Linked DNA regions of Solanum lycopersicum. Each later gene encodes a partner of the first gene's protein in a complex. Links are inferred from orthologs where the notes say so. Each region holds a gene or a part of one and is shown in the gene's direction. Other genes may lie near its edges.

Region 1 (8,289 bases):
GGTAGTTGTTGGTTGTTTTGAAAAATCAGAACTCTTCTCAGCCGTCCGATTCGATGACTTTTTAGAAGTCTCTTTATATTAAAAATAATAATTTGACCAATGTGCATTTAGCAATTTTGAAGACATTTTTTGGTTGTTACCTATATGGTAAAATATAATAATGTTTGTTTTGATTGTTGATTAAGTATTATTGTATATCGTATTATTATTTTTTGTTATTATATAAAGAAAAATGTTGTTTTATGTATTAGATTTAGCGGCGTTTATTTTTTATGTTTTTTTATCATTTAATAATTTTATTTTATCTTTTAATTTATTCTTTTTATAGCGATTTTATTGTATATTTTACTTTTTATTAGATTTACCTTTAAATTGATAATGTGTGATGATAAAAAATGAAATATAGTATATTCAAATGTTATATTTCACAAAATAATAGTATGTACGGTGAAATAATAAGTGATAATCATCCAAATAAATTGTAAAAATGATGTTTTGATGTTCCAAAAATCCTTATAATGGATGTTAGGTTTTAACTTTTAATTGATTCAGTTTATATCCTAAGTAGGTGTTTGGACACGTGATTCTATATCGCAATGTGAAATTAATGATTGAATATTTGACTTCGAGTTTTTATCATGAGATGAAATTCCTAATTTTCTAAAAAAAACATGTATTGAGAATTTCAAATCATGATTTGAGAATTTTCAAATACAAAAAATGATCCACAAGTTTATATTTTGTAAAAACAACATCAAGTTTACATTTATTGGCCATTTATTTCATATGTAAAAAAAATAATTATAATTCATATTTTACTTTTTAAACTTTTATATATCTTATAATATCGATTATTCTCACCAACATAAAATTAATTTTTATTTAAAATAATTCTTATTTTGCTATTTTTATTCACCAGGTTCATTATTTTTAACAAATTTATTTAAACCAAATTGACTAGCAAATAGCTCAAAGTGACGATGTTCTTTCATTTTCTTGGTCATATGATCGAAAAATGCAAATTTAAAATTGCAAGTTTAAAATGAAAGTAATTTATCTATACTATGTGAGAGGGTTATATAAAGATATGTATACTACAGTTTATTGTATGATTTTTTTATTGAATTAAATTTTAATCAAGAAATCTTGTATTTTTTCACAATAGCTCTGTTATATAGTGCACTATGCAAGTTTTATATTTGTTTATTTGATAAGTTGTATAAGGAGTCGAAACAATATTAATAGTTTTATAATTATGAATTTTATATGTTTATGAGAAAACATAGAACATAAAAAGTCCAAACTGCATATCAAAGCAAAATTTTAAATCGAAATTTCATATCGCATTGTGAAACTGGCTCTGATAAACCTCGTTAGATTTGCAACTTGGCATTCTAATATTATGATTTTTTTAGATTATTATTTTTTATATTATTATATTTGTATATTTTGAGAAATCAAAATTAACAATAACGTACATGAAAAAATTTTACTAGCCAAATAGGCCTTTGCTAGAGTAATGAAAAGTACGATGGAGATAGGTTTGATAACAAGGTGAGCAAAAGGGATTGACGCTTAACTCGTAGAAGTTAATAAAATATTTTTTCATTTTCAATCCTATGTAAAGACCATCACTGAATATTAATGATTTTTATTAATTTTGGTTGTGGATTGTAAAGATATAAATAGTAGTTGATGAATCAAAACACGACCATTCTATTAATGAACCACTCTAAAAAAGGAAAAGCGTACTTATAAAAATATTACAAATTGTACGGTTTGAATAATTTGATCATAATAGTCATTAAATTTCATGGCTATGTTATAATTTATAAACACGAAGTATGATTTATATTTCAACTTTATCCATCATAGTAGCTTTCAATATTTATACATAATTAGAGTGACTTTTTTTTTAGATTTTATTTAAATTTATGTAAAATTCATACAGACTCGTATCTCTTGCATAATCTTCAACTTGTACCCGTCATGAATAACTTAAAATTCACACGCGCTGTTTTGCATCTATTTCGTTTCATTGCCATCCCTAATTGGAGAGAATGAAAGTACACAAAAATAACATATTACATTTATTATTCAACTATTTGAATTTGAAATACGTGAAATAATAAATACATAATACATACATGTTAGCTTTGATTCGAGGCAATTTATTTCCATCACATTGTATCGCTTGTGAAATTCGATACAACGGCTTGCCAAGACTTTCAAGAAGTTGAATGACATATTGGTGTGGTTAGAAGCCCGCGAAATAAACAAACATGATGATTTATGCAAATACAAATTATTTATGCAATCTCAAGGAAATTAACAAAGATATATGAACTTAATTGTAAAAAATACGTTTGATCATACATAACTAACAAAGTAAAAAAACAGAAAATATTTAACGCTAGTATGATCAAATTTCAATTCGAAAGTCTAGGGTTGAAAAATTGCATGTTTGACTTCCCACACTAAAAAAAATATGAATCTCAAAATTTCATAAATTTAATTTTCACCTCGAAATGTCTAAAGTTAAATTATAAATGTATGAAACATTAATTTAGATCCCAAATGTTTGAAATTAAACTTTACCAACTTTTAAAATTAAAATTGTAAAGTAACTTTGACATTTTCAATTCAAAACTTAACTTTATATCAAACTGAATAAAAATTAAATTTTATCCCTATACTTCTATTATTTCAAGCATGAAAATAAAAAAAATTATAATTTTGTAAAAAACGTAACATTGCACAATCGATTAAATATTTTCTAGAATAATATCCGTCGTAAAAAAAATAGATCTAGTAAAACTAGCATTACCTATCTAGAAACTTCCCATCATATCGTATGTATCGGTTCAAATGTAATACATGTACATTGAAATAGAAAAATATAGAAAGTGGAAGCAATGTATGAAGTTTTCTCTTATTGGGTTAAAATTTAAATACTTTAGATAAAAATTGAGTAGATTTTAAATGATATCCTTAAAAGTGGCTATCTATTGCAAATCATACACGAGAAAGTCCCGAAAACGGAGGCCCATTTCACTTTCAGCCCAAACCCAACTTTTCTTGTGCAAAGGGAAAAGTGCACAAACAAAACTCCGATCAGTGTTGTTACTCTGCTATTTTTTCTCCGATCGAAGATCAACTATTCCGATTTCCGACGATGAATGTAAGTTTTTTGTGTTATCTCGCGTTGAATCGAAGAATTTTGTTGTAATTCTTTGTAATTTTTGTGTGGAAATGGTGATGTTTTCAGGTGATGGATTCAGCTCCGGCTAAAAGTAGCTTAATGAGTCCCGAATCTGATATTCAGAGAACACAGTACGTGCTCTCTTCCACTCTTTGCGTGTTATGAGATTTTACAGATCTGATTTGTAGTATGTTTGATGTTTTTACGAAATAGGGTTTTTGTTCTTATTTTACAAAAATAAAATAAAATAGAAGAGGCACATAGTTTTAGTAGCTCAGCTGGCTGGTTTGTTCGCTACCTGTATTTTCACCTAGTGGTTCTTTTGAGCAGAGTGTCTGTGGAAACCATCCCAATGCAGTGGTAAGGTCTACGTACACACTACGCTTCCCAGACTTGACTTGTGGGATTACATTGGGTAATGTTGTTGTTGAGTGTTTTTCTGGATGCTATTAGCTAGGCTTAAGTTAACTCTATGTTAATATGTATGTTTAAGGATGTTTTTACTGCAAGAGTTACCAGCAAAAGTAATGCTTTTCAGGCGAGTTTTTGAACTTTCCTCTGTGTGGTGGGGAAGCCTTTAGGCATATTTGGTTGATTTATAAACATTTACATAGGCGGGGGTAGAGTAGAAGGTACGAGTTTTGCTTATTCCAATAGCTTTCGTCCAACGTTTCCAGACCTTGGATTTGTCTTTAAAAGATCTGTTTAATATGTTGACATTATTAATTTAGGATGCAGTAACACAAAAGGGTTTCGATCCTGATTCCATTAACATCTAATCCTAGGTGTACCTATGTACATAAGGATGCTGGTGAAGAGCATTGGATATGGAGGAAAATGTTCCAGGTAGAAATATGTTTTCACTAGAAAAGAAGTTTCTTTTAGTGAAAAAAATATGTTTTGGATGGTTTGTCGGTGTTTGGTTAGGTGTGAAAGTATGTGACATATGGTAGTAATACAAGATGGAAGAATATATGTTTATGCGGATATTTTCTAGTGATACTCTTAAGTATTTAAGATTGACTACGATGTTTAAGCACTAGTTGAGCAAAATGATGTTAGTAAGTGTTTCGATACTTATAAAGGACTTATGCTCATAAGTAACATCTATTTCCCTTTAAGCTGAAAATAGTTTATTTCAGAAAAACAACATCAACATTTTTCACGGAACATTTCTGCCATGCCAAATGATTGATTTTTGATCTTTACTGGAGTTCTCAGTCTGTGGCTTATGGTATTATGAACCTGTAATTTTGTTTTCCCGAGTAGAAGGAATGAGGTGCGGGGTTAAGTTGAGATCTCATCTTGCGTGGCTCTTGGATTTTTGCTTCCTAGGATACATCTGGACCACAAAGGAGTTTGCAAATACATTTGGGCCAGAAATAACTTTGCGGATATCTGGTCCAGAAAGGAATTTGCAAACTGTATTTACCTGTTTCAGCTGCTTATGCTCTTACCGGTGGGTTTCACTGGGATGTTAAAGCTGCTTATGCTTTTAAGTTGTTGGACTTAATCTTCATACACGCTAAAAAGTGAAAATAAAAGCATTACAGAGGATGAACTAGGTATAAATCCTTTAGTGAGGATGGCTGAGTGTTTATAAACAACCTCTCTACCCCACAAACATAGGGGCATGGTCTCAAAATCCTTTAATGAGGAGGGCCGAGTGTTTATCGGAAACAACCTCTCTACCCACAAAGGTAGGGGCATGGTCTGCGTACATCGTATCCTCTCTAATCCCTACTTATGGGACTACACTGGGTATGTTGTTATTATTGTTGTAGTGAGAAGGAGAGTCATATAACAGATTAAAATTATTGAATGAGAGTATCTGCATGTTGGAAGAGATGTGCAGCTCTTTGTATGTACCATATCCTTTGCATGCATGGGAGATGTAGTTAAATTTAAGAGTACCAACAATGTCATGCAGCAAATTTTTACCTTATGGATACATGCTCACTCGTGCAATGAGATTGTATTTATGTAATTTTCCTTTATAATTCCTTACTGTGCTCGAGATGTTTGCAATTTTAACTTGTATTGTTCTCAATAGGTTTCCATATGTGACTGGGACATCAGTTGTCGGCATCAAGTACAAAGATGGTATTCTCTTGGCAGCTGACATGGGAGGTTAGCTTCTATATCAAAGATTTTGTCCCAATCAGTGCTCCGATTTTTTCAAAAAAGTATATCACATGGTTCCGTCACTAGGGAAAAGGGATAGAGAATTGAAAGATCTCCTATAGAAGTTCTCTTTTGTCATTTTAATATTATTTGATGTTAAATAAACCCTCCAATACATGCTAGAGATAATGTAGTATGTGTTGTCATCTTCTTTCTTTTTCCATTTTCAGGTTCCTATGGTTCAACGATACGTTACAAGAGTGTGGATCGATTAAAGCCAGTGGGAAAACACTCCCTTCTTGGTGCAAGTGGTGAAATAAGTGATTTTCAGGAGATAATGAAGTACCTTGATGAGCTTATGTACGTCTGTCCTTATTCTTGTTTATTGTTATTGTTTATATAATTTTTGATGGGCAACAGTTCTGGTATTCAATGCTTCGTAAATGCATGCAGCTTGTATGACAACATGTGGGATGATGGGAACTCCTTGGGTCCCAAAGAAGTGCATAACTACCTAACACGTGTGATGTATAATCGTCGCAACAAGTTCAACCCACTTTGGAATTCACTTGTTCTTGGTGGAGTAAAAAATGGACAGAAGTATCTTGGAACAGTAAAACACAATACACTGTCTTGCTTAATTTTAGACAGATCGTCTCAATTGCATCCCTTACTGATAATGCTTGTGTTTTTTTCTTTTATTCCTTAGGTTAGTATGATTGGTGTGCATTACGAGGACAACCATGTGGCTACTGGATTTGGGAATCATCTTGCGAGGCCCATTCTTCGTGACGAATGGCATGAAAATTTGAGTTATGAAGAGGGCGTTAAGTTATTGGAGAAATGTATGCGTGTGCTTTTGTATCGAGACAGATCTGCAGTCAACAAGCTTCAGGTACAGAGTCCTCCTGGGGTTTAGGTAGAAAGTCAGTGCTTTAGAACTAATCAAAATGAAACCTCTTAATTTGCCAAGATGTGTTCCCGGAACTTCTTTCGTCAAACCTATAGTTTATGAGTTTCCTGGTAATTGTAGTTTTAATTGTGGGTCTATAGCTCTGAATTTTGCATCTGTTGTCATTCCTACAAGTACCAAGACTATAGTCTGATTCTGCATTTTCATAATCTGTCACTGCTTTCCTTTTCTAGAATAAAAAATAAAATCTACCACTATTTATTTCTAATTTCTGGCACCAATCATCCTTTTTAATTATATTGCCGCAAGGAAGTATTTCTCTACTAGATATGAACAATAAGACAGGTTTAGTGTGCTCTAGCGGAAGCAGAAGAGCTTATACTTCGATCTTCAAGTTCCATAGCATTTGCTCCCTAGATCTGCTCAATGTAGATATCTATTGTGGTTGACTGAAGGTTGGTTTCTTGTTTTTGTACTTTAGATTGAAATGGGAAAAAAATAATGGTAAGGTTGTTGAATAATGGAGGTGAACGTGATGATTGCATGTATAGATTTCCTTTCTGATACAGAATTCATCATCAAGCTCATTTTAGATAATATAGTTGTGAGATTTGTCTGCTCTTTCTTTGTGATTTTATTCTGATGTTTCTCGGACTTGCAGATTGCAAAAATCACAGAAGAGGGAGTAACAATTTCTCAGCCATACTCATTGAAGACTTTCTGGAACTTCTCTGCTTTCCAGAATCCAACCGTTGGTGCTGAGGGTTCATGGTAATAACTGATTGCTGCGTCGACTAGGTTTGATGAAGGAACTACACAATGTGTTGCAGATTATAGAACTGTTTTCATGGAAGTGATGTTTGATAGAACTCGTGTAATTTGAATTGTCTATGGTCTTTCTAGGTTTTTTCCTAATGTAAACTATAAAAGACATGTCTCCTGATGTTTCACTTTTCCTTCACTATGTGAGATTGTTATCTTCCAAAGTTACTTGGCATGCCATGGCTCATCTCAGTTATGGAACGTGGTCGTTTTTCGCCTGGTTGATATATTTTCTAAGTTCATACAGAAGTACACGCCCCTGGTTTACCTACTTTTAAGTTGCGTTGCTTGGACTCTTGACAATTTTGTCACATTCAAGTGTTTGATCCTCTAAAAATGCTCTATTTTTGGAGGATCAACATAGTCGGAGACATCTTTTTGAAGAGTTTGAGCTATGTTATCGACACTTATCCAGAGATATTGAGCAATACAGAGCTTCCAAGAGATGCTTAATATTACAATTGTAATTATTAAGCATCATTTGCGATCTCATTGTTATGGGCACCTTAGTCCATGCTTGTGCAAATTCTCTTCAAAAGGTTTTTCAATGTCAAAAGGATACATGAAGATTTTTTAACTAGAGTATTATTGTTCATTATAGAAATCTTTCCTACGTTTTCTTAAATGCAATGGTAAGATGAAATTCTACTTTGATCTAGGAATGAACGTGAAGAGATCAACGATACTTCTTTTATCTTTTGAGTTGTTTTATTGGATCGGCTTTTCATAATCTTTGGTCTTATTTGAATCCGATAAGAAAAATGAGACTACTTGTGAACTCGGTGAGAATGATTTTGATCCAGTTCATGATAACCCATAATATTATTGCAAAAATTGGTCCAACTGTGAGGTATGGGATGGGGTGAGCAATGTATATTATCAGTAAGTCATTTTTTGTAAAACAGATTTTTAAAAAAACGAGTCATGAAGATGTTCCATTAAATTAGATAGAAGCTCTCACTAGCTAATTAGTTTAAAGATATATTCTATAATCCAATTCATTTTTAGTTATTAATAAAATTAAAATAGTTTATTGTCCCATTCGAATCGGTTACTATGAAAGATCCATATGTTGGATTTACTTGTTATGTAGATGAGGATGACTCAGCCTCGTTACTATAGTTTGTTATGCAACACCTCTGAGTTATCTGTATGCATTACAGTACAGTTTAACAATTGAAATTTTCTCTTCAGAGGCTAATGTGTGGATGTACCTTTGCAATTGCAC
Region 2 (8,485 bases), on another chromosome or scaffold:
CAAACACAAGTTGGAATTGGAAACAATGAACCAAATACTTGATAAAAATAAACATTGCATTATTAATACTGATCACTGCATTACTAATTCATGCTTTATTCATTTTTGTACCACACGACCCCTAAATGCCTAAACTAACCCCTTATTCTTTATTCTAAATTTCTTTTGTAATTTAATTTCCTTTTTATTTATATTGGAATGGTCATAAATGTTATTTTTTAATTCTCCAAATCCGTTTAGTGTTATTTAATGGATTCACTAATATTTTTTTCTCCATTTTTTCTTGATTTTTTTATTCAAGATAATTTGTCAATTACCCACTTGAACAATTTATTTTAAAAATAAAAATAAAAATAAGTTTTAGGCATGAACAATTTATGTAGTGTTAAATCTATGTGAAGTTTAAGATATATACTTGACCAACAAAAAATTAGAAATACATTGTGTCATCAATGATCTTCTTAGTGGTACATTATACTTTAAAATTAATAACAATTTTATGTATATATGTATTTTATTAACTAATTAAATAAATTAAATAATTCTTTAAAAAATATTATCTGGACATTTTACATTTTTTTTCCGTGGTTATCTACCTTGAGACCCAATTACATGAAATACACACTCATAATAATATAAGGTTATAATAGGAAAGACCTTTTTTGTAGAATTATAAATTAAATACAAAATTAAGTGGAAAGTAGTGAACCAAACACTTGACAAAAAACAATTCCTGCACTATCAATTACTAATTTATGAGTTACTAATACTTACATTACTAATCCCCGCATTATCAATGTTTGTCCAAAGGACCCCTAAATGACAGATTTGTAGACTCTTATAATAAATTGGACGGTTATGCTACTGAATTGAGGAGTTACAATTCAGGATTTGACATTATCATTAATTTTTCCAAGGGGAAATAATAAGAGAAAATTTTTTAGAATGTATATATGTCTCAAGGCAATGAATACTTATTTTAAGGTTGAGTTAAGACCATTTATTGAGTTAGATAATACATTTATTAAAGAAAAAAACTAAGAGATATATATTAGTTGTTCTTAGCCAAGACAGTGTGAATTGGTTCTACCCTCTGGTAGATAAATAGAATAAAAGGTGTTGGATTTGGATCATGCAAAAGTTGCATCATACACTTAATCTTCAGAATTAGGGGTTCTACCCTCTAGCTTGGGTTGTAAATGATAAATAGAATAAAAGGTGTTGGATTTATGCTCATGCAAAAGTTGCATCATACACTTAATCTTCAGAATTAGGGGTGGGGATAAAAATAGAAAAATTAAAACATCGAACTGAATCAAAAAGTTTCGATTCTTTGATATTTCGATTCGATGTCATTTTTTTAAACTTTGATTTTTTGGTTCAGAGTTCGATGTAAGGGTCCCAAAATTATAGTGCATCGCAGAATTGATGTTTTATTAAATAAATTAAAAATATTTATTATAATACTTAATTTTCAACTTTACTTGTCCCATTTTAATTTTCATATTTAAAGTCTAAACTTAAATAGAAAAAAATCTAAATAACAAAGAAGTAAACCCTAAAGATCTAAAGTCTAAATTAAACAAAACTCAATTTAATTCAAATTTGAGCAGCAACTTGGTGTTTGTACTTTCTATTTTATGATTTTATCATTTTATGTTGTTACTTTGAAGTGTGAACAAAAAATTGATGTCTTACATTTTATTGTTAGATGGTTAGTTGTTATTTTGAAGATTGAAGTGTGAAGGGAATAACAATAGTTACTTTATTAAATTCTCCCTTTATTTTTATTCACACCTAAAAACCAATTTAAAAACACTAAACTAAATTGAATCGAAGTAGAAAAAATCAAACCAAACCAATCTAGTTTGGTTTGAATATGATGTACACTTTTTTTAAAATCGAATACCGAAGAACCAAATCAAAATTTGATTAAATCGAACCGAAGAAGCGTACGCCCACCCCTATTCAGAATGTGTGAAGAAATAACATTCACAAAAGATATGCATAAGGTAATAATATATTACTAAGTTGTAATTCATTTAAGCCTCTTTGTTTAATATTGTTTCTTAAATTTGTTGTTTTTATATGATACTCAGAGACTACTTGAGAAAAGTAAGAATAGTTTTACCTTAAGCAAATCAAAGATATTGCACAATATATATTGAGCCCAATTGATGAAAAAGATCAGATAGAAGTGAGCTAAAGAAGTTGTTGTGTGGTGACCTTCATGATCCTCATTTTTAGAGAAGATTTGAAGAGGTTGAAAAGGATTTATTGAACAAATATTCTCCCAAAACATGATGCAAAGCTTATCTAGATGTAATGTGCAAAAATTAGGTTGTGGATAATAGCTCTAACAAAGTCTTTTAGTGCTTAAATATTTGAAGCAAGATACAAGCAAATTATTGAAATGTTGATAGATATTAGAATTGAAATAGAAAAAGACAATTGTGAGGAAGTGGAAAGTTGATGGTTTTAGTCCCAAAAATGACTTTCTTGTATTGCCTAAACTTAAATTTTTGCTAGACATATTTGCCAGATTAACTGAAGTATGACAAATTTATAGTTTGAACTAACACAACAAAGTACTAGTGACTTAAGTTCCAAAATTATGGTACTAGTGTTTTGTAATTGACATATTTACTATGAATGTTGACTTACAATTTTCCTTTAATAGTTTTGGACCATGTTAATTCATTTCAAATTAGTTCTATATTGCAAAGAGAAACCAAATTCGCAACCTCAAATATTTCATCTCAAATATACAAACCTCAAATATTTCATCTCAAATATATAAAATTCAATAGTTATAATCGAATTATTAATTCTTATAAAATTCAATTCAAAAGATAAGATTCTCCTATCAAAGTACTCAATCAAAAAATTCATTGCAATTTTAAATAAATTCTAACAAAATCTAATTCAAAAAATAAGATTCTCTAATCAAATATTCATTGCGATTAAACTAAACACTTGAAAATTCCATACAAGAACATATCTTCCTTGCACTTGGAAACTGCAACCAAGAAAAAAATGTACACTTACACAAAACTATATCACTTGAAAATTGCAAGAACAAATACCACAAACACAACAAATAACAATATACACAGTATCTTCCTTTTTAACAGTGTCACTTTCAATTTCTTGATTTGTTCACGTCGAAGTAGTTTATATTCTCTAACTTCTTCAATTTCTCTTTAAGTTGTCTCTTTCAATCTTAACCACATTCAACAACTCTCTCAAATCTCCATTTTCATCATAGCAACTTTCAGTTTAGACTTCAACAAATATACTTCGACAAAAGAATTTTTTGAAAAACTATCTGTCCATTTTCAAAATCCACAATTTTTAATCTATTTCAAAATAATAGAGAAGAATTTAGAAACATATTAATAAAAACATAAATCATATGAATTGGCTTTTAGTGAAAAACGTACCTTAGGTAAGAACATCTAAATATCTATAAAATTTTCTTCCGGTGTTCAATGGGGTGCTTTAAGTGAAACAACAAGCAAATTCACCATAAAAACAAGTGATCATCATCGAGTTACTAATTGAATCAAAACTAGTTTCAGACATGTTACAAGGTCTGATTTAGTGATTAAAATGGCTGAAATCACAATTAAGATCGCAGAAGCAAAAATTACAAAAGAATCCTTGAAGAACACCATCAAGCTAGGTTTGTCTATCGCAAGTGAGGGGAGAATTCAAACTATTTTGATTTGTTTGTTATATTATTAGGTGTTAGTAATGAGTGGGTTAGAGGTTATTTGAGAGATCTTTTTAATTCGATGTAAATATTTTTTTATAGATTTATGTTTAGTGAATATTTCAAATAAATACATATGATTATGTCATATATCTCACAATTAAAATGAATGACACAAATGATCTACTTTTAAATATAGAGACACTAGTATCCAAGTAGTATGACAAATGATATTCGTATACCATTTTTGATAGTGTAGAAATAAATTCCTCTTTTTTTCCTTAATTAAAAAAGAAAAAAAAGACGTATATATTTCTGAACCATCATAAATGTTATGCAGATAACCTCCGTCATACTTTTGGGACATAGGTTCCCTATCGTTCAAAAACTAGAGCCTATATACCCTTTATATACTAACGGACATTCACGTATCATAATCTTATCCACTGATCCGACATCAGAGCGATAAATAAAATTGCGGCACGTGTCAATATTTAATCTTCCGTTAAAATGACGGACATATAACTCTAATTTTTAAACATCATGGACTTAATATTCCAAAAGTGTGACAGAGGGTATTTACTTACCATTACGATATTTCGAGTTATATTTGTCCTTATTAAAAGATAATAAATCCTTCCTTTTTCCCTTGAGAAATTGTAGAACATATTTCTTACTCTCCAAGACAGTTGCTAATACTAATATACTTAGTCTCCCTTTTTCTTCTTTTATTTTTTCCTTTATTCTCACTAGGGCTTTTCTCTTTCATTTTTCAATTTCTCTCCTCCTTCGATCTCTCAGCTTTACCCTAAGATGGACAAATCGTCGCTCGATGTGGAGCAGCCACACTCCATGGGAACCACCATCATCGGCGTCACTTACAACGGTGGCGTTGTTCTCGGCGCCGACTCCCGTACCAGCACTGGTAATTCCTTTTTGATTTCCTTGTTAAGTGTTTGATTTATTTTTTTCAATTTTTTGTAATGTCGCCGTGGAAGAATGGAATAGCTGAAAATAAAGTATCTGATTGATTGATTTGTTTTTTCAATTTCATAATGTTGTAATGTGAATACTGAAAATAGAGAGTGCCTTTGATTTACTTTTCAATAGTACTTTCTTGATGAGAAGAGTTTCCTTAACAATTGAATTTTTGTTTTTGTATATGGCTTTATTATGAGGATTTGTGAAAGTAAAGCCTTTTTATATGGATTATCTGAGAAAGATCAATTTATTGTGAAAAATGTAGTAGTATTTTTAGTTTGTGTAATCTAAGAACTGCATTTTGTTGGTGTTTTTTTTTTTTTGGAAATTTAGGAATGTATGTGGCAAATAGGGCTTCAGATAAGATCACTCAGCTCACTGACAATGTATATGTTTGTCGCTCTGGATCGGTATGCTACTTTTGCTCTCTCTCTCTTTCTTTTGAAACCCTGGAACTGCTGTCTGTGCTGTGGCATTATCATTCCTTTTCCCCTTTGTTTCCATAAGGGATTTTTGTTATTTGGTTCAAGTATTGGCATGTTGAGTTTTGTATATAAAAGCAAGTCATGAAGTTAAGGATTTATGGGTGTAGTATCTCCCTTCTTTTTCTTCATTTTTATGTTTTAGGAAGGGGTTATAATTTGGCTGAAATTTGTCAGTAATGAATTCAAAACTCTATTTAATTGAATAGCATGTTATCTGCTCTGCAATGATTGACAAATAGAACGTAGAATAACTGAAATGCTAACTATGCCAGGAGATATTAGAACTGAAATAGAAATGACACGGCTAAAAAATTCTCTGAGTTAGCAATGGCGAAACAACTTTCAGTTTTGAACTTTTTTTGTATCAGCAATGGCGAAACACTTTGCAATTCCAATCCTTAAAATTCTTTGGGGGCTTGCTCTTCCTCAAAAAGAATTAAATCTCTTATGGGCTTAGTTAAATTCACAGGGCAATTGTGTATTGTCATTGTGTGTCCACTTAACGTGGTATGTCGCAAGGATAGAGTGATCTGAATTTTATCAAATAGCAAATTGAAATATTCATTTCTCTCTCTCTCTCTCTCTCTCTGTATCTTATCTATTTATGAGTCACTGAACATCTCTTTACTTTTCCTATTAAGGTAAAGTAATTTACCTAATGAAGAGAGGAAAAATGTCTAGTATACAAGCGGTTATCAAAAAGTAGAGAACCTGGAAATAACTGAACATCCTTTTACCTGCTTATCTTTCTATGGTTTTTGGAAATCATGCTCATATTATGCAAGCTAAGTCAGTATTAAAAGCTAGAAAATTTCAGATGTTCATCAATCAATCAACTGGGCTTTATCCAAAACTACTTGGAGTTTAAGCTATATCAATTGATCCTCGGTTTCCATTCTGGTTTGTCTTACTAGAGAAAAATATACTGAATTTTACTTGACAATGGGACCTACTAACATGGTTTCATTAGCAGCTAGTAGCAGAAGTTATAACTTTTTCCGTTGTCTTGCATATTACTATTGCATCCACTCTCTCCGAGGAATGATAAGAGAACTCGGTTTAATAAAAATCTAGATGCCATTTGTCACTTTCTGATGAATTTTATACCACTGGTACTACTTGGTACATAATTATAGGACATCTATAACATAGTGATGCCAAACATGTCTAAATTAAGATGGATAAGGAGGACTCGCAAACCCTCTATTGAATGATTCACAGTTTGAAAATGTCATATATGCTGTTCCTGTAGTTTTCTTGTATGCATACTTGATATCTGTGGATTCCACATCCATGGATGAAAATAATTGGTTGAGGCTTGTTAATTGATTGTTTAATAGGGCTGAAAATGGAAGTAAAAAATGTATTAAATTTGTTTATTTAGTTACTGAGTTTGTCCCAAGTGCTTTAGGTTTGCTTTTAAAATGTTAAGCTTTAAGTTGCCTGGGTAAACCATGTTTCTTTTGTGGTCAGACAAGTATTGAGGTACAATTTTTCCTTTTTGCTCCTCCCCTTTCTCACATTGAGTGGGGGCTACAGTGGTAAAAGAGCACTCGTCGTAGATGTAGTTCATTATCCAATTTGATTAAAAAAACATATGATGCAACCTCTGTATAAATGTCTAGATTATTAGATACCTGGGCACGCATATCAATTTGCATGTAAAATTGTTTCTTTTTTTTTCATTTAGCACAATTTTTTACTTTCTAATATTGTAAGGAATTTGAGTTCCCAATGGGATTTGATTACATAACTAAACATGATGTTAGGTTTAAAGCCTATTCTAATGTAAAATGTTCCACTACCTTTGTGTTGTATCTGCATAAACTGAATCTTTTGGAAGTCAAAGTAGGTTCGAATTGAGAAATGAAATATAGCATGAGGGGATCATAGTGGTAGATTAGATAAAAGATAAAGATATTAATCCTTCTCGTTTATGACCAAGTAATCCCCAAGGACCAACTGCCGCCGCACGGTTTTAAACTTGGTGAATAATGGGCCCAATATGTATTTATCTTTTAGGACAAGTTCATTGGAAATGCTTTTTAAGAGAAGCTTTCTGTTAGTTTTAGAGGTTTTGTTCTGTACCTTTGAAACAACGGATCTGGGCGATGCTCGAATTCAGGTTATTGATGATTTTATTCTTACACCTCCACATATGTACTCTGTAGAGTCTGTCTTGTTCCAAAACATTAGCTTCCTATTGCTCTGTGGTTAATATATGGTTGATATAAATCCTACAGCATATCCAATAGTTTTATTAGCTTATTAGACAAACAAAAGAATGTGTTTTACTTTAAGTTGCCCAGGCTCTCCAAAAATGTTGCAACTCCTGTGTCGTATTATCCAAAAATGCACTACTTCTGAAGGATACGACACATACCCGATGACATTTTTGAAGAGTCCAAGCAACACATGACTTTTACCTACTTCCTGGTCTAGAAAATGACCTCGGAGCGTTATATGCTCTAAGAAGTTAAAAATGCCTGATGCTTTGAAGTGAACTTCTGGTTTAGAAAATGACCTTGGAGCATTATATGCTCTAAGAGGTTAAAAATGCCTTGATGCTTTGAGGTGAACTACCAACAGCTGAGTTGTTTCCATTTCATAATCTGATACTTGATCCTCTATAGCATTCTCAGAGTCCTATCTCACATATTATTTTAATGATTGTTTTGTAGGCTGCAGATTCACAAGTTGTTTCAGACTACGTGCGCTACTTTCTACACCAACACACGTAACCCATCAACTCATCTTGTATTTTTTCAAATGCTTACTTCCTAGATGCAACTATTATGATTTATCTCAGTAACTTGCAAAAGAATCTCCCCTGATAAGAGGCTATTAACTTCAGTGTCTTCATTGATTCCTTCTTTGTTGGGATTACGGAATTGACTAGTTAACCTATACATACTTTTGAAGTTTGAATGAGCGTGCCAAAATTTACCATCTCGTTTAACCATCAATTTTTCTGGAAATTAGATTATGATGAAGTGGCTTGTGTTTGTCACTTATTTAGTCAAATTATTTTCAGGATGCACTTTCTAAGGTTGAAAGTTTTTGTGGATGCAGGATACAACTTGGCCAGCCAGCGACTGTCAAGGTTGCGGCAAGTCTTATTAGGCAAATATCCTATAACAATAAGGTTTGTTTCTATAAGTAGTATACTATTTCTTATTGTGTTATGTAAAATAATTTCTATCATTTTAAATTTTAAGTATCCTATTCTCTTTTTTTTGCGTGTCTGTTAAAGATTTATACAAATAGCTTGGCAATTGTGGAATCACTTTTTTTTTTATTCGCT
Region 3 (6,757 bases), on another chromosome or scaffold:
CGTGAGTAGATATGGATTTTCTTTTTGTAATAAATGATGAATCTCAATTGAAATTAGTAAAGAACAACGTACTTTAATGTCGTTTGTTTTATAATTTAGCTGAATCGCAAAAATAGAGTTATTATTTATTCTTTCATAACATAAGAAAACTCCAATCATCTTCAAGAAATGTATTGACGTATTTCTAAGAAATATAACTTATATTTTGATTGTCTTATTATATAATCATTTTTTGTTTTAACAAGTTATATTAACGGCTTTAAGGCTAACAATTCTCGAAGATGAAATTTGAAATATGGTATATGACAACTTCCCTAAACTCAAATTCTTGAAATTATGTAATACCCTCGTTTTAAATCAAACTACTTCAAACTGATTCTTTTGTGACCTTCGTAAAAGTTTGAATAGAGATAAAATTTCAACTCAAATTAATCTAATTTCAACCTTGACAGTACTGGCTATATTTTAAATATATTTTGAAAAAAACTGAATATCACTTAAATAGTAGGTTGAAAACTGGCTACCAGACGCAATTCCTACTTTAGGCCTCAGCGGACACCCGACCCGACCCGTATAAAAAACTTGCGCAATAAGACTAGCTTCACTCTTCGTCTACATAAAGAAGAGAAAACCTCTCGACTCTTTTCATTGCGCTTCTCTTTAGATCTCACATCTCAGGTATCTTTCTATATCTTCAAATGGCGATTTTTTTTTCCTATTACTGATGCGTTGATCGATATAAACCCTCTCCCTTTTCCCAATTTCTTGGTATTTTTCTTGATTTTTGTAATGTTCTTTTTGTTGAACTCAGTGATGGGTTTGTGTTATTCTATTGATAAGTAAATTAGTTGAACTTCTTGGGTTATATTTTCAAGAAAATGTATGGAAAATTTTGGGTTTTTTTTGTGAAAGTAGGAAGAGGGTTTACATGAGAAGGAGTTTAATTGATCTCTTGCAAGTAAATGATAATTGACGACAAATATTTTACCGGTGGCGCGATAAGTTCATTTCTATAGCAGCTCTGGTTGTAAAGAATTGTTTTAATTAGAAAAAAAAGAGAGACAAATTTCATTAAGACGTGCAATGGAGACAATTTAGCTTATGGGTGTCACTAGTTAGGGAAGTTGGGTGGGTATCTGGTGTTTATGAAGTATAAGTTGCAGAATATGACTAGGGTTTTAACCCCTGCCCAGGAGCTCTCGCACCTTTTAGCTCCATTGGTGACTCGAACCCCAACCTTAGGGTTGGGGGTTGGAGGGTGATTGCCATGTGAGCAACCCGTCCTGTCGTATGACCTGATTTAGGTAGTTATGCCATGGTGTTTTTGGTGTATATTTGAAAGATAAATTACAGCACCACACAGTGTTATAGGAGGGTTTTGAATGACTGGACCAATTTATAAAAATTTCTTCATTTGGAATGTCCAGTGAGGTCTTCTCTAGGATGGCTTTGAGTGTGGAATTCATGTATACTGTATTGAATAACTGTACCGACCTCGGTTGAAGATTCAAGTGTTAAAAAGGAGATAGATCTAGTTAGTGTTTGTCTACATAGATTCTTCCCCTTGTAGTAAACAATAGTTCCTTAGCAGTTAAAGGCATGTTTAGTCTAAGTTGTAAGATTGCTGCAGTGTTTACTGAGTTTTAATACTATACCCACTCGGCGTTGTTAACTCTCGATTTTATAGTTCCTTTCTTTATCTCTCCTTTTTGAACAATGCTCTTAGATTTTTATTGGAATATAAGGAGTGAAAGTGTAAATGTACCAAACTTTAGCCTTAATCTACAGAAACCTAATATAAGATTTCTGATCCTGACAGCTAATAGTTTACCTTAGCTGCCTTAAATCCCTTCTTACAATTGGTCCTTTTTATAATCCCCTGTTCACCTTTTACAAAATTTTTTTTATCTTGGAGCAACATATAACCAATCTCTGGTAAACATTTGATGTTTTCTTAATTGAAATCTAGGATAATATTTAACCTTGGATCACATTGCTCCTGATTTGATTTCTTGAGAAGTTATCTCCGTCTTTGTACCAAGTGCAGACTGTATCCTGCATCCAATTAGTATACAATTGAGCTACTCTTAAAATCTTTTGGTTTCAATTGCAAGAACTGAAGTTGACACTGGTGGTACTAGCCTCCAGTCTGGCAATTGTATTTATATTACTCTAGTGGGCAAGCCACATCTTAGTGTTTCAAGTAAGAGTTATGACAAAGTGATTTGTCTTCTTTGCTTTTGCTACTAGTAAAATTCTACCAGAACCTACCAAATTCATGAGTCTGCAATCACTCAAAGTAGAGCTCTTCCCCACAAACAATTCTCCCTCCAAGTTTTTCACATTTCCTGTGGAACTTAATACGCAATAATGCTAGTGCTTTTTTCTTTTTGATTCAAATCCTAAGAAGTTGCACCATAAATTCTGTTATGTCCCCAGTCGTAATTCCTTTTGGCTCATTGCCGTGACTTGTATAATCTCTTCCATCTGCAACTTGCATTGTGATCTTGTTGCCCACAATGGCCTTGCTAATGATTCCCTTTTCGACAAACTGGACAGTATTTTCAGAAGGTTCCTTGCCTTGTTGGATCTCAAAAGGTGCTGGACTTGATGAAAATAATCCTCCTAATAATCATTGTTTAATCTGTCATTATCTCTTTTAGCTGCCCATTCTGTCTTGAGTTCCCATCGTTAATGAAGTGAAAGTGGTAAACAAGCTGCTTTGGTTGGTACCACTAAGAAATTGTACAGTTTGATGCCTACCAAAATAAAACGGAAAGAACAGACTTGTTATTTTCTTAATCTATAGCAGATAAATATAGATTAGCTGACACTGACCTCAAGTTAGAAGAAAAATAGAAAAGAAAACTCTGATCTAACTAATGATTTTTATACTTGTTATCTTCTGGCAATCCTTGTTGCTGCTCCTTATTTAGCTAACTGCATATTCAAGTTTTTTTCAGTTAAAATTTCTTCTCTCTAAATGTAATTCATTCACATGCCATATGGGCCTTAATTTTGGAATGCTAAACTGCCCCTGTTAGTTTGTTTTGAGAAGTACAGGGAAGGGTTAGCAGTTAGCACTCTGAAACATTTTTTTATGAGATAAGGAATTTCATTAAATGACATCATGAAGTGTCAGCTCCAACTTCATCTTGGGTATGTATTTTGCACTACTTGGCATGTATTGGACTATGCCAAACTCCTGACTTATCTGCTGCATAGTTGAAACAACGAGGGTCTCAAAAAGAAATTCCAAAAAACTTGGAATACTATTTCTCAGGCCATTTGGTGGACAGTTGGCTTGAAAGAAATAGCAGAATTTTCAAGGGAAAAGAAGAAATATACTTAGCCTTGAACACAAACGTATTTATTTGCTAGCTTTTTGGTGAAACCTGGTTCTTGTACATGATGTAGATGCAATGTTAGATACAATCGAGGAGTTGCACCTTCTTTATTCATGCATTTGCTTAGTGCAAGCTCATCTATGAAATCTCTTCTTACCAGTATCACTGTACACACACTTCAAATGTCCACAAGTTTATCCATACAGGTGGGAAGTCCCTGAGGTTGACAATTTTCAACTTCAACTCTTGTGTGGACTTATATATTGTTTCGACTCAGTTTTGTATCTTTCTTTCTGTTGTGTTTGCCAACATGCTCGTTAGTTAGACTTATTCATGGGAAGGGTAAAAAAATGAACCATGTTTTATGTGCTCTGAAATTTTTATCTAACTAGCTCAAGTTATGTTAATTTATCAGGTATTCTGCAGTAAAGAAAAAAATGTCACGAAGGTATGATAGCCGAACAACAATCTTCTCCCCAGAAGGTCGTCTCTACCAAGTTGAGTACGCAATGGAGGCTATTGGAAATGCAGGTAGTGCTATAGGCATCTTGTCCAAGGATGGGGTGGTGTTGGTAGGTGAAAAGAAAGTTACATCTAAGCTGCTTCAGACCTCTACTTCAAGTGAGAAGATGTACAAGATCGATGATCATGTGGCATGCGCTGTAGCTGGAATTATGTCTGATGCCAACATTCTGATCAACACAGCCAGGTTTCAGGCTCAGCGCTATACGTTCGCTTATCAAGAACCCATGCCAGTTGAGCAACTTGTCCAGTCACTATGTGATACCAAGCAAGGTTACACACAGTTTGGTGGGCTTCGCCCTTTTGGTGTTTCATTTCTCTTTGCAGGTTGGGATAAAAACTATGGCTTCCAACTTTACATGAGCGACCCAAGTGGAAATTACGGTGGTTGGAAAGCCGCAGCAATTGGAGCAAACAACCAGGCAGCTCAATCAATTCTTAAGCAGGATTACAAGGATGATATCACAAGGGAAGAGGCCGTTCAACTTGCTCTTAAAGTGCTTGGTAAGACAATGGACAGCACTAGCCTCACTTCGGAGAAACTTGAACTTGCTGAGGTATTTCTCTCTAACGGGAAAGTCAAGTATCAAGCATGCTCTCCCGAAACTCTGAACAAAATGTTGGTGAGTGCTGGACTGACTCAACCTACAGTAGAAGAATAGTCGTAGAATGCCTTCCAATCTAGCATATGACATCATTGAACTCTCTCTACGCCATGTGTGACATGTTGTACTAAAACTAAGTGGTGGATTTGTCTTCTTACAACTGCATGCATATTTATGTCAAATGCTTTCCAGTTTGAATTTTGTTTTGGATTTACTTCATCATTTGTTGTTATCGTGGTACTTTACTGCATTTGACATGTTTGTGCCTCTGTTTGCCTGAGAAAGAAAAGAACACACAAACATACCCTCCATCTTTCTCAATTTTAACTTGATGCAACTACCGTAGGGGAAGAAGGTGAGATCTTTTCATCTTGTAGCTATCCATTTTAAACATTATTTCCTTCCTCCGACTAGTAACTATTTAGTCCTCTAAAGCTCTGAGGATTTTGGTTATGTAGTGGTGATTATACCAAAGCAGAAGGTATGATGATTATTCAGAATGGAAGGAATAATGTGCAAGTAGAAGGTATGTTTATCATTTTGATCGCATGAATGTCTACCTAAAGCTTATCATCATGACCTCTCACAAAAATGTAAAAACAGTTACTTTGGACATAATATCAGATAGTTTCATATCATAATATAATGTTAACTATTACCATTTACAATTACAGAAATATATACAAAGTGTTAACTCCTGCATGCTCTCAATGCCTATTTTTTGAAATTATCTGAGGATTTGCTTCTAGTGAAAACAGATTCCATTTCTTCCAAAGACTTTCCTTTAGTCTCAGGGCACATGAAATAGAAGAAAATCAAAGCCACCAAAGAGACTGCAGCAAACATGAAAAAAGCACCTCCAGTTGTAATTGCTTCAGAAATGGACAGAAAACTCATAGAAACAGTAGCATTCGTCAACCTATTAACAGCAACACCAATACCAGCACCCAATGCCCTATACCTAAACCCAAGTAACTGGACCAAGACCAATATTGAAAAACCATAAGTTGTAACTATACTAAGTTGAAAAAATGTAATTAGATAACCAAGTAAAATAATTTCTGGTAGAGATGTTAAAAATCCACGTGACGATGGTGATGAAACTTCTGCTGAATAAATAGGTGCTATCATAAGTGCAAATCCAACACCAACACCAGCAATACATCTTCCAACTAATAATGCTATATAAGATGGTCCATATCCCATTAAAATTGATCCAATCATGAAAATTACTGAAGCTACAACTATAGTGTTACGTCTTCCAATTTTATCAGATGTTCTTCCTGCACGAAGTGACCCAACTAAAGCACATAAATTTAGAATCCCTGCTAATATTTCTGTTTTGGCATTCTTTTTTCACATATATCATTGCTCCACTCATAACACCAGTATCTGACAAAAAAAAAAACATAAAATTATTGTTAGAACATATTAACACTAATACTTTTTCATTTCTTATCGATTATATATTCTTCCTTTGTTCTCCATTTATTATGTGACACAATTTGACTTGACATAAAAAAATCCGTGATCTAAAACATCTGTTGGCCATTTAAAAGGGTAAACAGAGGTTTTTAAAGTAGAATTGTTTTTAATTATAGAAATATGACATTTTAAAAAAAAAATTAACAAAAAGTATGTCACGTAAATTGAGCCAGAGAAAGTAATTAATAATAACGATGCTAGTTACAATCAAAAGATATTTACAAAATCGTACATCGTTAGCTCAATAATTCCTTGACATGTGAATGTAGAACTTTTTTCATAATAAGGAATGTTTTAGCTCCTTAATGAACTGAATTTAAATTAACCAAGACACTATATTTCGAACTTCGGACAATTTGAAGTAATGAAGAATGAAACTTACCATAACCAAATATGATAGATATCATAGAAGCAACAATTGCACAAGCGCATGCATATTTGTTAACCTTTGTAGGATTTTCTCCACTATCATTCTCCACTATCATTCTCCCAAAATAGAAATTGGTCTTTGTTTTTATAAATAAATCATCCAAATAAGATAGTAAAATTCTATAATATATATTTAGATATCTATAGTCAAAAAACAAATCCAATTTCTATCCTAGTCCTTCTTTACTAAAATATGTGTTTTCCAAAAACAAAAAAAAAGGTACATAATCTGTAAAGAATTAATACTAGGTGGATAATAATGATAAGAATTACAAGTCACAGATGAGTCCTAATTGTAGGATTGAACCTGTGACCCTCCATATCCAACGCCGGCATTATATGGATACCGTTGATATTTATTCGTAGTAT
Region 4 (8,428 bases), on another chromosome or scaffold:
CTTTCACAACCTAAGTATAGAGGAAATAGAGTCGCATCTTATGTGATTCTTGTGCAGATATAATATGGTTAAAAATTATTAATAGTAAGAGTTAGATAAATCAAGAAGAACGACTATAAGTTGTAGTTTCTACAAACCTTTGACGCATAGGACATGCTGTTGAGATCATCCATGGTTAGTAAGGCTCCAGTAGGCTTGCTTCTGAGTATTGAGAGTTGTTCTTCCTGTAAGTTGATAGTATTATTATAAGTCATAATACCGACCACATGTTTGTGTTTTATATGAATAAAATTTCCGGATATGTTAGAGTTTTACTTTTATTCAGTTTCCATACCCGCACATGTAAGCCAAAGTTAATTGAAAAAATGTGTTTTTCAACATAATGTCATCAGTTACATCCAAGTCTAATAGAGAAATAATGCTTTTGAAATGTAGGACAATTAATCATTTTGTCAGCATAAAAGTGCATAAAGTAACAGAATGTCTTTGTGATATATGGATACTCACTCTGAGCCTGTTCTGGGCTTCTCTGTGCTCATCCAAAAACTTGACACTCCACATCATTGCAGCAGCAGTTGTTGTCTGCCCTGCAATTATCAGCGTTAACAAATTATCCATGATCTCTTCATCATCAAGCTTTTGATTGGCTGGACATGAATCCTTCTCCAACATGGACTGCAGGAAGTCTTCATAATATTCCTTCCCATTGCGCCGAGCTGCTATCATTCCCTTAAAGGTCTCCATTAGCCTCCCACGTGCCTGCACGAAAAATGAGATGAGCATAACCTAATAGTTCATGTTAATTTCTCTTATATTAAACGAAAAATCTTATTTATCTTGTCCCTTCTAATAGTGAATGATCTGTTTCCTCAAGTCCAATTTTGTTCACATGGTGAGTAATTTTTTCCAGAGATGTTGCAAGCCATCAAGTGCACTGCATTAACGGTCACCCCTACCTTGATGCCTTTAAAATATCTGGTGCCCGGAATCATGACTGGAAAGGACAGCATGGCATCAGAAATTGCAGTGCAGTCTTTTTCAATTTGTTCTACCACAGAAGAATCTTTGATGCTCATCAGCATATCGCACATCGCATCAAATGTTGTCTGCAGCCAAATTTCACATGGTCAGCGAACACTCACTGCAGCACACAACACTACTATTTCTTTTGGTAATTGTATACTTCAACATATAGCTATCTCCCTACAGTATGCTTAGAATCTAGTAATTAGGATGACACATCGATCTTTTTCTGCCTGGTTTATTGTATCAAAACTAAATCTTGTTTCAAACAAATCAAAAGGGACTAAATTTTTTCCAAGCTTTGTGTTATTACTAATTAAAACTAGTGGAGTAATAGATTATAGACAAGTTACCTTCATGTTGAAGTCAAGCACAGTGAAACTCTTTCTTTGCTTTTGTACTTTCTTCAATCTTTCATATAGCATTTCATCAAATCTCTGTACAAATTTTGACAGTGAATTCATAGAGAAAGGATCAGATAGTAGGCGCCTAATCCTTTTGTGACTCTCTTGAGGAACACATAACAAACTTTTCTTTCCCACAGCATCTGCCATCGATTTGACGTAGCCCTTGTTGAATAGAGCAAAATCATTAGTAAAAATTGCTTTCGCACCCTCAACACTTGGAACAAACACATGTATTTTCCCGAAAATTCTGGTTTTGAACCATTTCCCATGCCTGTATTAAACAAAACAATAATCAATCTAGCAAAATTTTGCAATATAAACTATAGCTGATAAGCTGGAGGAACTTTGGTAGGATTTTTATCATAACCATAGGAACTTATTTATAAACATTTGGGAAAAATATTGAATAAAAATCCTATGAACTTTCTCTGTTTTTTTTTTAAATCATTGGAACAGTTGACCTAGTATCCGTCATCTCAATATAAAATTAAAGCTAGTATATATGTTTGATCTCAATATGGAAAAAAGCAAATTGCTGGATTTGATATTGCATTAGAACTACATGGATTTAAAACAAATAGAGTTTCTTACCGCTCGCGTCGAAGTCTAACAAATTCATAACAACCTTTGACACTGTTGGTTGCTGATAGAAGTGCGAAGGTTTCACCCACGAAAGGTATTCCCAAACTCCCAGGTATGCAACTTTTTGCATTTTTAGCTCCCTTTGACAAGTAAAGTGCAGTAATACTTATGACAAGTATTGAAACTAGAAGAATATCATAGTATTTGCTTAGTAGGAGAAGTATGTCTTCCATTGACATAGTAAGCATATTCTGATTTTAATGTCAACCTGAAAGGACAAACTATCACTAATAAGTAATATATAGTAATGCACTCACTTTCTAAGACATAATTTAAAAATGCATTAGGTAGAGATTAGAAAATTCAAATGTAAGTATAGGACAAGATGCCATAAGCCTGGATCTTTTGTCTTCACTTGCTTTCCACAATGGCTACGGATCTATCTTTTAAGATACTACTTAAAATAAAATATAAGGATGACAAATATATGCAAGTTGCTTTCAATTACTTTTCTTTGTGCTCACTGAAACCTTATATACTCCCACCTCCGTCCGTTTCAAATTAAGTGTCATCTAAATTTTTTTAATTATACCCTTATATTATTGTCTTTTTAATAATCTCGTATTTAATTAATTGTCAAGATACATTTATTAAATAAGTATAGTTTAGCAAGCTACACGTTGTATTTATTGATTTTTTTAGCGAATGTGGTGAGTACCTTGGTAAGCCGGCATGGTCTATTATTATGAATGAGTGACCACTTAAAAGATGATATTGACAGCTAGTCATGAAAATTTGTGAACAATAATCAAACATATACGAGGTAGTGACTAGTGAGTACAATCTTCAAAAAAGAAAATAAAAACATAAGCAAACCTCTTGGTCTTGGATGCTTTTTATGTGTTCAAATGAGTTCTGCTCATTTGGCCATGTTTTATTATAAAAAAAAAGTATTAAAAATAGTTTTTGAAAAATGATATTTAGTAACTTTGAATATAATATAAAAAATTCATGGTCAAACACCTCGTATCAAGAGTGATTAGGTATGTTTATATGATTGTGACATTCAAAGAACTTAGATGGGATATAGGAAAAATGAATTGGTAGGTACAAATTATAGATAAAATTGGACATCTCCATTTTCCAATTGATATCCTTTGGCATGCCCAAAAAGAGGGCAAATTCTTGACATGTGACAAATGAGATGGTGCACTCATTTCGGCTGTGATCTAAATTCTATCCAGTTATCGGCATACTCTCTTTTGTTTAGTCTAAACTAGATTTTCAACTATCCAAATATTTTTAGAATTTCTCAACTTCAACATAATATTTTTAGAGTTCGTTACGACAATTGAGGTTTTTTGAAATTAAACATTTTCATCTCATAAAGATAGTAGTAAGGGTATAAGACTTGCCTGCCTGCCTCCTTAATTCTACTTTGTAAGATATATTAATATTTTAACTAAAACTCAAAAAGTCCAAATAGAGAATTTGAAGTTAAAAAGCTTATTTGAGGAGTATTTGATTTGAAATTATGATTATTTTTTAATAAGATTTTAATTTTTCTTTTTTCAAGTGAAATATGACAACAACACACACCCACACACAAAAAAAAACAAAAACTTTCATATATAGCAAACATAAAATTCATATTTGTATGCTATAACAAAGTTTGTATAATTGCGCTCCATAACGAACTTATGTATGTATAATTCACTATACATATATAACTGAAGCAAATTGTATAAAACGAGAAAGAGAGAAATTATATACAATTTGAATCGTATAAAACGAGAAAGCGAGAAAGACATAATTGAATTGTATAAAACGAGAAAGAGAGAAATTATATACAATTTGAATTTGTATAATATGAGAAGAGAGAAAGGCAAAGAGACTTGAGCAGGAAATATACAATTGAATCGAATTGTATAAAACGAGAAAAAGAGAAATTATATACAATTTGAATTCGTATAAAACGAGAAAGAGAGAAAGACAAAAGAGACTTGGGCAGAGAAGTACTTTTAATGTTCTTGGGCAAGGAACAAAAAACCCATTTTTAAGTGGACAGAATATTGGGCCTAATGAGGAAGCAATCGGGGGCCTTTTTAACACTAAGCCCATCTAGCGCTCATAGTCAGATGACTTGCTGAAGACGAATCATCAGTCCTTCAAATTGAATCTTCTTCTGCAACCCTAGATCCATCTCTCTTTCTCTCTACGCATCGAATCACCATGACGAAGCAGCAAGCTAACTGGTCTCCTTATGACAACAATGGCGGGTAATGTTTCGTAGATATTTACTTTTGTTTTTGCTTTCTTTCTTTCATTTTCTGTATCGGTGCTTATGCCCCTCGCGTTTCGACTTTGCAGAACCTGTGTGGCAGTAGCTGGAGCAGATTACTGTGTAATTGCAGCAGATACTCGCATGTCCACTGGCTACAACATTCTTACTCGCGATTACTCCAAGATCATTAAACTGTATGTTCCTTTTATTTATTTCAAATAACTTGTTTTCTGTGCCATTTAGCTAGTTAATACTATGAAGTAGGCTAATAACATCTTGTACATAGATCTATATATTTGATAGACAAAGCTCCATGCTTTGCAATCACTTTTTTGGTAGAAAGTAAAAGTTGCTCTTCTATACTGATCAAGGTAAAATTTATCCCATGCATAATGATTTGTACTATGGAATTGGAGAAAATTATTCAAACCGCCACTAGTCTTGCGGGATTTCTCGGTCATAAAAGAATGTTGTTATTCAATTTTTGTTTTCATATCAAATGGATGAACTGAACTATTAGTACTTTTAATTTTAAAGAAACGGACTAGCATAAAATTATCACAGTTCAAGATTAGTTATTGACTCAACATATTAAAAGGAGAAGAAGTGAACTAAATCTCATTGAGTTGCCGCCAGAAATCAAAGAGAGAGGGTTGGACTATGGGTGAGAGGGTGCTGGTTGGGAGTGGGTAGCAAGTTTGGAAGAGGAAAAAGAGGGAGCAGTCAAAGATCAGAATGCAAACCTGGGTTGCATTTCTCTGTTTGGATGAATCTCGAATGGAACTAATTTCAGTGCTGTTCTCGTTGTTTGCTTGACGAGGCGCAGTCAGTAATTAAAAAGAAAATTTAGCCAAGAGGCAAAATCAAGTTCCATGGCTCATAATTGTATAAAATGTGTTTGACCTTTACTATATAGACTCTGTATTTGCTAAGTACTCCCTCTATCCCTATTTAGTTGTCCACTTTAGAAGTGTCACACATATTTTTTTGGCAATAAACTGTGAATATTACCATACAAAAAAAAAACAAAGTATTACAATTTCGTAAAGTGAACACAACACTAACATCTAGCTATTAACTATCTACCACACATCCTATGTATTAAATCTTGACACTTTCTTGCTTTTCTAGACTCCTGTACTCTTTCTAATCTAACTAATAACTCCTTCTTTATTTGTGTGATGATAAAATTTGTATTTACATGTTCCTGCCTATAGTGCCTCCAATTCCTCACTTGCCAGGTATAATAAATTGTTGCTCCATACATTGCAGCTACTGCTTCCTTCTTGAATTGTTTCCAACGTCTTCTTTTAATCCACGCCACTATTTGTTGTATTGTGCGTCTTAGCATTGCCACACCCACCCAGTTAGCCAAATCCTCTCTCACTGCATTCCCCAAATGACAATCAGGAAACAAATGTTGATGTGTTTCATCACTCTCTTGCTGACACAAACCACATGCGACATCTTCAACTTGTATATGCATATGTTATAGTCCATCTTTAGTGAGCAGTCTTCCTTGGTATGTAAGCCATAAGATAAATCTCTGTCTAGGCTGCATAATAGAGCTCCAAAGTAAGTCTGCTTCTGGGCATTTATGTAGCACACCTAGCATGGCTTGGTAGCTACTGGTCATGGAGTATACACCATTTGATGTCAAAACATATTGTCCCCCTTGATACCATTGGAGCATTTCCGTCTTCAAAACATTCAGTTTTTTCCAATACCAACTACAATCTTGGGGTGGTATGTGTTCCCAAATGTTATCGGTATCCTTCATATAGATCCCATGTACCCATTTGACCCATAATACATCTTTCTTGTTTGACAGCTGCCATAAAAGCTTCCCGATAGCAGCTATATTCCATAATTTGCAGCTCTTGATATTTAATCCTCCATACTTCTGAGCTTCCCCACAAGAATTCTCTGCATTTTTTATCTACTTCCTGCAACACACTTTGTGGGAGGATAAACACTGTCCCCCAAAAATTATATATCGAGAACAAAACAGCATTAACTATCTGTAGCCTCCCTGCTTATGACAACTGCTTTGAATAACCTATTGTGATTCTCTTTGTGATCTTCTCCACCAATTGGTAACAATCCACCTTGTTCCATTTTTTTGAGGATAGTGACAATCCCAGATACCGTATAGGTAGTACACCCATTGAGAACCCTGTACTACTCAAAATTCTCAACTTTGCTTCCTCAGTCATTCCAGCAAGAAATATGTTAGATTTCTGCAAATTTGCTTCCACGCCAGTCACAGCACTAAAATGTTTCAAAGCCTCCATCACCCTTTTAATAGATTTTGTGTCTCCTTTGCAGAACACCATTAAATCATCTGCAAATATTAAATGTGTAAGTTTTGCTGCTTTGCACATTGGGTGGTATTTGAAATCAGCCAGATCACTCATCCTCCTAAGAATTCTCGTAAGATACTCCATAACTAACACAAATAACAGAGGAGAAATAGGGTCCCCTTGTCGAAGCCCCCTCTTGCCCTCAAAATATCCATAGCCTTCTCCATTCACTTTAACTGTGAACCTCGTAGTGGTCACACATGTCATTACCAACTGCACAGAGGTTCGTGGAAAATTATAACCCTTTAAAGATTCCTCTATAAAGTCCCAACTTACCATATGATATGCCTTCCGTAGATCTATCTTCATCATACATATTAAGGCACCAAGTATTATCATAGGTTAGTTACAATTATACCCTTAACTTAAAAGATTATGCAACTCCCCAAGTATAATAAACTTATTTTCTGGTTCCAAAAAGCATGCATTACAACTTAGTAGTACTAGAAATTTTCTAGAATTAAATAAGGGCATATTAGGAAAAAAATTGTTGTCCTTTCTTGATTTGTTAAAATAGACAAGTAAATAGGGACATATATAAAAGGAAATATGGACAAGTAAATAAGGACAGAGGGAGTATAACTTTCCCATGAATATAGAAATTCTTTTTGTGAAGCGGTTTTAAAACCAACTTGCCTTTAACTGCCTCTGCTTGGGGGATGAGAGTATAACAAGGTTTGCACTTTCAGGATTAACAATAAACTCATGTATAATTATCTCCTCCAGTCCTCCTATGCATCATAGCATGAGAGAATGAATTAGATGGGTATGCATACATGTAATCTTCACCTTCCGTCATGATACTAGTTGGTTTCTCTGCTTTTATCTTTACCCAAACCTTTTCCTAATACATCAGTTTTGCATGTTAACTGTCTGATTATGTAGAGCGGATAAATGTGTGATGGCATCGTCAGGATTTCAGGCTGACGTGAGAGCTTTGCAAAAGGTTTTGGCATCAAGGCATCTGGTAAAAATGCTAGAAGTTTTTGTTAATCCTTTATCTCTTCAGTCAGTTTGGTATGGAGCATGTAGGATGTTTTGTATCTTCGTTCAGTGTGCTTCACCTGTTTGTGCAATATGAACTTATCAACTCATTGTGAACCAAAAATTTGATTGTTAGCTTGCATGATGTGCGTGTCTTTATGGACAAAAGTGAGTTTGCATTATGTGATAGAGAGACAGAACAGTGACCATGATCTGATCCATGAGCTTTACAATATTTAGCCAGAGGATATGATTATGGGCAGGATTGGGGTGGGGTGGGGTGGGGATGGGGTTTCTAGGTGTTATAATTAATACATAAATTAGGCTTGTTTTCTTTTCTTCCAATTGATGGGGTGGCTTGGAGTAACTGGTAAAGTTGCTGCAATGTGACCGGAGTCACGGGTTCGAGCCTTGGAGACATCCTCCGGCAGAAATGCAAGTTAAGGCTGTCTATAATAGGCCCTTGTGGTCAGGCTCTTTGCCAGACCCTACGCATAACGGAGCTTTAGTGCACTAGGCCCCGACTGCCCTTTTCTTTTCTTCCAATTATCAATGACATGATCAGAACCTTTTTTCTGGGTACGCGCATTGTGTGTGTCCCTTATTGATGAGTACAAGTTTTCTAAAAAGTCACATAAATACTAGTAAAATATGTATTTGAGTTGTGAATAAAATTAAAGAAAAACAATTCAAGTCCCTGAAAATAGTAAAAATCAGTGATATTTAAACTAAACTCAATATCAAGGACGAAATTGTTCCTCTAAAAGGTACAAAAATGTCTTCCT

Evidence for each region.
Region 2: the proteins of proteasome subunit beta type-4 (region 1) and proteasome subunit beta type-6 are in contact, whole or in part, in a cryo-EM structure (PDB 7QVE), measured with the Spinacia oleracea proteins. The link is inferred for Solanum lycopersicum from reciprocal best matches to the Arabidopsis thaliana genes PBG1 and PBA1. Residues at the interface, in XP_021842182.1 of Spinacia oleracea: Ser48, Thr49, Leu50, Arg51, Tyr52, Lys53, Ser54, Phe157, Phe176, Glu177, Val180, Arg181, Glu184, Arg188, Leu191, Tyr192, Arg193, Asp194, Arg195, Ser196, Lys200, Ile203, Lys205, Thr213, Ile214, Ser215, Pro216, Pro217, Tyr218, Ser219; in XP_021843991.1 of Spinacia oleracea: Arg32, Ser34, Gly36, Val37, Tyr38, Val39, Ala40, Asn41, Arg42, Ala43, Asp45, Gln49, Tyr55, Tyr147, Ala178, Arg179, Asp180, Gly181, Ala182, Gly185, Val186, Arg188, Arg199, Phe201, Pro203, Gly204, Asp205, His211, Glu212, Glu213.
Region 3: proteasome subunit beta type-4 (region 1) and proteasome subunit alpha type-4 share a complex: the UniProt entries of both Arabidopsis thaliana proteins name them as parts of the 20S core complex. The link is inferred for Solanum lycopersicum from reciprocal best matches to the Arabidopsis thaliana genes PBG1 and PAC1.
Region 4: proteasome subunit beta type-4 (region 1) and proteasome subunit beta type-1 share a complex: the UniProt entries of both Arabidopsis thaliana proteins name them as parts of the 20S core complex. The link is inferred for Solanum lycopersicum from reciprocal best matches to the Arabidopsis thaliana genes PBG1 and PBF1.

Annotation. Positions count from the first base shown.
Region 1 is NC_090810.1:59,171,728-59,180,016, reverse strand, and holds proteasome subunit beta type-4, read left to right. Parts: upstream 1-3,029; 5' UTR 3,030-3,175; coding exon 3,176-3,181; intron 3,182-3,268; coding exon 3,269-3,333; intron 3,334-3,938; exon of another isoform or gene 3,939-3,995; coding exon of another isoform or gene 3,996-4,048; intron 4,049-5,255; coding exon 5,256-5,332; intron 5,333-5,556; coding exon 5,557-5,686; intron 5,687-5,779; coding exon 5,780-5,939; intron 5,940-6,035; coding exon 6,036-6,221; intron 6,222-6,900; coding exon 6,901-7,014; 3' UTR 7,015-7,225; downstream 7,226-8,289. UniProt on the Arabidopsis thaliana protein: Non-catalytic component of the proteasome, a multicatalytic proteinase complex which is characterized by its ability to cleave peptides with Arg, Phe, Tyr, Leu, and Glu adjacent to the leaving group at neutral or slightly basic pH.
Region 2 is NC_090806.1:8,739,602-8,748,086, reverse strand, and holds the start of proteasome subunit beta type-6, read left to right. Parts: upstream 1-4,365; 5' UTR 4,366-4,528; coding exon 4,529-4,640; intron 4,641-5,029; coding exon 5,030-5,106; intron 5,107-7,862; coding exon 7,863-7,918; intron 7,919-8,253; coding exon 8,254-8,326; intron 8,327-8,485. UniProt on the Arabidopsis thaliana protein: The proteasome is a multicatalytic proteinase complex which is characterized by its ability to cleave peptides with Arg, Phe, Tyr, Leu, and Glu adjacent to the leaving group at neutral or slightly basic pH.
Region 3 is NC_090801.1:61,745,664-61,752,420, forward strand, and holds proteasome subunit alpha type-4, read left to right. Parts: upstream 1-3,784; coding exon 3,785-4,531; 3' UTR 4,532-4,672; downstream 4,673-6,757. UniProt on the Arabidopsis thaliana protein: The proteasome is a multicatalytic proteinase complex which is characterized by its ability to cleave peptides with Arg, Phe, Tyr, Leu, and Glu adjacent to the leaving group at neutral or slightly basic pH.
Region 4 is NC_090801.1:64,277,450-64,285,877, reverse strand, and holds the start of proteasome subunit beta type-1, read left to right. Parts: upstream 1-4,086; 5' UTR 4,087-4,244; coding exon 4,245-4,291; intron 4,292-4,382; coding exon 4,383-4,490; intron 4,491-7,544; coding exon 7,545-7,626; intron 7,627-8,428. Other genes in the region: abscisic acid 8'-hydroxylase 3-like, read right to left, coding at 1-10, 138-224, 508-759, 957-1,106, 1,377-1,701, 2,022-2,260. UniProt on the Arabidopsis thaliana protein: Non-catalytic component of the proteasome, a multicatalytic proteinase complex which is characterized by its ability to cleave peptides with Arg, Phe, Tyr, Leu, and Glu adjacent to the leaving group at neutral or slightly basic pH.